Neurospora crassa OR74A: one gene and its partner. Each later gene encodes a partner of the first gene's protein in a complex. Links are inferred from orthologs where the notes say so. Each region holds a gene or a part of one and is shown in the gene's direction. Other genes may lie near its edges.

Region 1 (2,422 bases):
AAGACTATTGGTATCCGTACCAGCACCATGGACGATAAGAACATGGCCATCGAGCTGCTCGTGGTGTACGCTCAGGTCCTTGAGGGTGACTTTGCGCCTTATGTCGCAGACATCATGGAGAAGATTGCTCTTCCTGGTCTGGCCTTCTTCTTCCACGATCCTGTCAGGTACATGTCTGCGAAGCTAGTTCCGCAATTGCTCATTTCATACAAGAAGCAGTACGGTCCCGGCTCCAACGAGCTCAAGGGCTTGTGGACCAGCACCGTCGTTCAGCTCCTCGACGTTCTTAGCGCCGAGCCTGCCATTGATACGCTCGCGGAGATGTATCAATGCTTCTATGAGTCCATCGAGGTCATCGGCACTGCCTGCCTCGATGAGACGCACATGGGCCGCTTCATCGACGGTGTCCACTCCACTCTTGAGGATTACAAGGATCGGGCAGCCGCTCGTGAGGAGGAGCAAGGAGGTGAAGATGGCGAGGACGAGTCGGAAGAGATGCAGATGGCCATTGAGGATGACCAGACTCTCCTTTCGGACATGAACAAGGCGTTCCATGCTGTTTTCAAGTACCACGGCGCAAGCTTCTTGAGCGCTTGGAGCCGCCTGCTTCCCACCTACAGCAGCTTCTTGAGCTCGAATGATACCACCCAGCGACAGTGGGGACTGTGCATTATGGATGATGTTCTAGAATACTGTGGTGCTGAGAGCATTCACTACGCCCAGTATATCTCGGAGCCTCTGCTCCTCGGCTGCCAGGATGCCTCTCCCGCTATTCGTCAAGCGGCTGCGTATGGCATCGGTGTGGCTGCCCACCATGGCGGCCAGGCTTGGGCGCCGTTGGTGGGCCAAGCCGTCGAAGTTCTCTTCAAGGCTACGCAGATCCCAGATGCGCGCAACGAGGACAATGTGTACGCTACGGAGAATGCCTGCGCTGCCATCGCCAAGATTCTGCATTTCAACTCTTCTCAAGTCGCCAACCCCGACCAGGTTGCGACACAGTGGTTTGAGACTCTGCCGGTCTTGAACGACGAGGAAGCGGCGCCCTATGCGTATGCTTTCATGACCCAGCTGATTGAAAAGTAAGTCTCTTGTCCTGACATGGCGAACTGGAAACGACTGACCCGCAAATAGGCAACATCCTGTCGTTATTTCGCAACCCGCTAAAGCTTTCTACTACGTCGCACAGGCGCTTGAGGTGGACGTTTTGAGCGGACAGACCCTCGCGCGCGTGATTGCCGCTGTCAAGAGCCTGTTGCAAGCAACCGGTACTTCGCCCGACCCCGTACTGCAGCAATTTGGCCCCGAATCTCAGCAGTTGATTCGGGAGCGGTTTAGCAGTTAAGAAGTGTCGGAGGTAGTGGCTGTGGAAGAGAGATGACATCGCTGATGGACGTAGGAGAAGGAAAAGCAAAACGTCGACTTAGGAAGATGGTGATCTACTTGGAAATCAGGATATAGATGGCATGGAACCAGAAGGGATCGACAGGAACTGGTAGGGAAATCATGGTAAGAGCGTGGAGAAATACTTGAGCACGCAATCAGGCTGTTGATGGCCTTGGTCATGTAGGGAAGAAGGCGAGAGGAGTCGAAGCGGAAATGTGAATTTGATGGAGATACCATGCACACCATAACGTTCCTTCGGCGCACGTAACCATTTATCACACACGTATAAAATCACATAAACACTTGTAAATGACTAGGATACCTAAGTAACATGGATCGTTCCAATCTTGCCTTTTACCAGTAGTTTGGGTGGGATACAGGAGAGATCGGAGGGTTGGATCTCTGCTACTGCTACATGAGCACATGTGTTGCGTCTTTGGTTGGAAAAGCTCACAGGTACTCGAGGGTCCTTGAATAGGTAGAATACAATGGAGTTGATGGACCACCAGCATCTGATAGCGGCGGGTATCTGCAGTATGGCATTGTAGTCTACATGGTACCCTCGATACATACCCAGATGGAGGCTGATCAGGGGTCTTTTCTTTGGGGTCCAACTAAAGCAGCCACACCAATTTTACAAACCTTGGGTCCGGGTCCCCCGTTCTGAACGGGAATGGGTGCATAGGACACTACAACTTTCAATTGTGTGCCATGGTCATATCATCATCCCTCTGACACTATCTGTACCTTGGCTGTTTTCTACGTTTGTGTGTGTACACTACATATGTCTGTATTACGCTACCGGCAAGGTTATGTACTCGAGGTCTATTGCCATCCGATAGGTGTACTCCAAAAACATCATCTTGCCCTAGTACTGTACACTATAATACGCAAGTGTCCATCCAGGGGGGTGTGAGGCTATTATACCTTTCTCTACCTAGTCTATTTGAGAAATAATCAAAAAGTGCGACAATCGACGTCATTTGGTGGAGCAACTTGTTTATCATTGTTTGGTTTACCTACCGATTGGTTAGGTACC
Region 2 (3,913 bases), on another chromosome or scaffold:
AATTGGAAAATAAACAGAGGATCAAAACATATCAGAACAAGGAATGAAGTAACAATCAAAAACAAATGACCTACAGCGAGCAGGGGAAGTTATCGTCGGTTGCCATGGTTGCGGTCTTTAATAACCCCGAAGTAAACACTTGCAAGAAATATGTTGTCGTGAACCAAAGGGTTTCAGACTGGCACTCGCCTAACGGTTGTCAGGGGAGTTTGTGTGGTAAGCGCTACCCGATGACGAATGTCAAATTCCAACCGCCGCGAGTGTGCCTGGGCTGTGATGACCGATAACAGGCCCTTGTGGGAAACTCTGTAGGAACCTCAAACTGTATCTCACACTGGCAATTCCGCAGTGATGTTACTATCGTCTACAGTTATCGCAAGGTCGTAGGCGGCAGGCTGGCTGAACAGGGAACGAGTTTCGATATTCGGTTGTTGCCGTGTGCTGGGCGCAAAGGCATCATGGCGGCTTTACAGAAAAAGGACAAGCTCCGGCAACACCTCCCTCTCTACCTCAGCTGGAAAGTGGAGCTCTGGGGGGGGATCTCCCGTCAGAGCGAAGCGATTGGATGTTACTGGTCCAGGCGCGACTGCGGATGCCAAGAGAGAAGGTTGTCAGGACAACGGCGGGTGAGATGGAGCTTTGAACGCGCTTATTGGGCGGTGAATTGTTTTGGAAGATACCAAGCCCCCCGAATTCTTCGCTGGCCCACGCTAAACCCCGGGCGCAGGCAGAGCGGTCGGGCAAGATCAGTTGCGACTTGGAGGCGGTCTCTGCATGGAAGGTGAGGTGAAGGTCTCGCTCGTTCTCCGGTTCGCCAGGGTCCCTGCCAATGACAATACACACACGACATACAACCTTGCCAGCAAAAACACCGCTCTTGGTAAGTACCGGTAAAGGCCGTACCTGCTACAAAACCTGTTCTCCGCAACCAGCTCATACCCACCGGTCTTTTCTGACCTCCTCCTCTCGCACATCATCATCGAGTTGCCCACTCCTTTGTTTCTTCAATTCTCCTGCCTCCGGTGCCTTCGTTCTTTACAAGAATTGCATTCTCGCAGCCGGTGTCCTCTCGTCCTTCTTTGGAGGCTTTGGCCCTTGTTTTTGGCCCTTTCATCCCACCCCGCACCTGCAGTGCAGTACACAGTCCCTTGCCTCGCGGTATAGCTACCTAGCCCAGCTTGGCTGCTTGGTTTTCCCTTGTTGGCACACAATCGCTCGCGCAAACGATCTGCGATCTCGACCTCACCTTCTTCCCGTCAATCAATCCGACCATAATTTTGGCCGACCTCAAGTACAGCCCTCAAACGACAAAAGATCGAATTGGACTTTAACATCCTTCGCTCCCGCCTCCCTATACGTAGCTCATTGCATTGCACAGCATCACTATTCCCGTACGTGCGCCTGCGCATTGTCGCAACGCCAATCGCTCTCTCGACATAAACAGTCGACTTTGAGCCTCCCAGGCCACGACGCCATGGCTCCTTCCTCCAGACACTCCAGCAATCTGGGGCAAATCATCGAGTACATTCCCGGTACGTGTAGATTATTTGTGCGCCGCTCCGGTCCTCTTAATTGAAGCTACAATTTTTTTTTTGTTTTGCTTCTGGCTCCGTTGTCCGAAAACTCCATGTTTATGATCCACCCGCATCCCATGTTCACCGCTCCGCAACGGAGCTGCTCGTCCCAATATGAGCACCTTTGAATATCCTCTACAATATCAGCAATTGCCTTACAGTATACTAACCTTTACAGACCGATTGTACCTTGCATCTTACTCTGAACCTCCTACCGAGCATACCTTGTTTCCCTACCCGGATCCTGAACCACGGTCCCCGCGCAAGCGCTCTCAACGAACAATCGACCAGGTCACGGAGCGTAAGAAGCCATACTACTTCACTGTCGACGATACTCTTCTATACAATGCCTTCCACCACGATTTTGGCCCGTTCCACATCGGCCACCTTTACCGCTTCGCCCTGCAGTTCCACGAAATTCTTGGGGCCAAGGAGAACAAAGACAGGCCGGTAGTGTTCTGGAGCAGGGCCGATCCACGCAGTAGGTCATCTAAGTCCGCCTCCTCGAGAACAGCAAAGATTGCTGACCAATGTTACCTTAGGTCGTGCCAATGCCTCTTGTCTACTAGCTTGCTACATGGTTTTGATCCAATCGTGGCCTCCGCATCTAGCTCTTGCGCCGGTCGCCCAGGTTGACCCCCCTCTAATGCCGTTCAGAGACGCCGGCTACAGCCAGGCCGACTACGGCATCACGGTTCAGGACGTTGTGTACGGCGTTTGGAAGGCCAAGGAGGAAGGCTGCTGCGTGTTGGAGACATTCGACCTTGACGAGTACGAAAAGTTTGAGAGAGTTGAGCACGGCGACTTCAACTGGATTACACCCAACTTCCTGGCATTTGCCTCTCCTCAGCATACCCCGGTTGCTCCCACCCCCGAGGGGACCGAGCAGTGGTCACTTCTGCCAAAGACCCTAGCCGCCGTCGACGCACATCCTACGCTGCCGCAGCCCTTCAAAAATGTTCTCAGGCATTTCTCGGAGCGAGACATCGGCCTTGTCGTCAGGCTGAACTCGCAGCTCTACAATCCCTCATACTTTGAAGCCCTAGGAATCAACCACATCGACATGATCTTTGAGGACGGAACATGTCCTACCCTTTCGACCGTACGGAAATTCATCCGCATGGCCCATGAAACCATCTCTAGGAAGAAGGGCATTGCTGTTCATTGCAAAGCTGGCCTCGGCCGAACAGGCTGCCTCATCGGTGCCTACCTGATCTACCGACATGGATTTACAGCAAACGAGGTCATTGCCTACATGCGCTTCATGCGCCCAGGCATGGTCGTAGGGCCTCAGCAGCACTGGTTACATCTGAACCAGGGCATCTTCCGGGAGTGGTGGATTGAGGAGCGGGTTGAGCGGAGGCTGCGCAAAGAAATGGCAGCCGCTGCCGCCGCCGCCGCTCAGGCTAACGGGACAGCGCATCCCAGCACCCCTGTCCGTGCCGTGTCGAAGACGAGTCTTGGTCGTAGCTCTAGCAAAAATGGCGTGTCCACACCCTCTAACAGAGGATCAGTTCGGACACCGCTAGGCGAGATCGATCGGGAGTCGGCGCGTGACAATCATATCGGCGTACAAGAGGATTACCTCCCCGCACCTACGCCAGGACAGCCAAGGAAGACGCAGCGGGGCGCAGTAGATCGCCAGAAAGGATATGGCCGGGGACCTATTCAGACCACTGTGGAGGAAGAACCCGTTCCCATGACAGAAGTGACAACCGAGGTGATCACAGTTCACAAGAGCTCAAGAGGGCCGAGTTCAGAGGAGGAATGGAATCTTCGAAGATCTCGGCGAAGACAGTCTGCTGCTCCAACTTCACCAGGACAACCCCCCGAACGGTCTGTCACCCACCAAACCGCTACCACGAAAACGACTGTTTATCAAGTCATGGATAATGATGCATCGAACGATATCGAGAACATTGGTACTGCCGCAGCACGAATCAAGGCCCATGACCACGCTCCACGCACTAGTTCCGCGTCTGGAGTTTTGACCAAGATACGAGGCAACACTAGTGCGAAACGCCATCCACCTGGGAGCGTCAGAGAAGCTGGTGTTCGAAAGACGAGTGGACGAGTTGGGAGTATAGGGAACTCGACAACCAGTCCGGCCGCTGTATCGGCAATGCGTAAAATAAGTGGGATGTGACCCTATTCTCATGAGTCAAAAGATTATACTTGACTTGATGTGTTACAAACGAAAGCTCGGATTCATTGGCTTCATAATTCATTTGAGATACAAAAAGAAAAGGTGCGTTCAAGAGCATAGGGTTATGCCTTTGGGAGTCTTGGGTTTCTCAGTGGCAGCAAGCAAACTTGGAGCATTCAGCGAGCGAGATGCA

What was found.
Region 2: the proteins of NCU02357 (region 1) and NCU03246 are in contact, whole or in part, in a crystal structure (PDB 4ZJ7), measured with the Saccharomyces cerevisiae proteins. The link is inferred for Neurospora crassa OR74A from reciprocal best matches to the Saccharomyces cerevisiae genes PSE1 and CDC14. Residues at the interface, in NP_014039.1 of Saccharomyces cerevisiae: Arg349, Asp353, Ser392, Ser393, Glu396, Cys429, Asn430, Gly433, Gln434, His470, Ala473, Ala474, Val476, Asn477, Gln512, Thr515; in NP_116684.3 of Saccharomyces cerevisiae: Gly547, Ser548, Ile549, Lys550, Lys551.

The regions. Positions count from the first base shown.
Region 1 is NC_026507.1:2,761,932-2,764,353, forward strand, and holds the end of NCU02357 (importin subunit beta-3), read left to right. Parts: coding exon 1-1,079; intron 1,080-1,131; coding exon 1,132-1,342; 3' UTR 1,343-1,733; downstream 1,734-2,422. UniProt on the Saccharomyces cerevisiae protein: Functions in nuclear protein import as nuclear transport receptor. Serves as receptor for classical and arginine/glycine-rich nuclear localization signals (cNLS and rg-NLS) in cargo substrates.
Region 2 is NC_026501.1:5,042,201-5,046,113, forward strand, and holds the start of NCU03246 (tyrosine-protein phosphatase CDC14), read left to right. Parts: upstream 1-928; 5' UTR 929-1,474; coding exon 1,475-1,532; intron 1,533-1,752; coding exon 1,753-2,055; intron 2,056-2,116; coding exon 2,117-3,720; 3' UTR 3,721-3,913. Other genes in the region: NCU03245 (hypothetical protein), read right to left, coding at 75-106. UniProt on the Saccharomyces cerevisiae protein: Protein phosphatase which antagonizes mitotic cyclin-dependent kinase CDC28, the inactivation of which is essential for exit from mitosis. To access its substrates, is released from nucleolar sequestration during mitosis.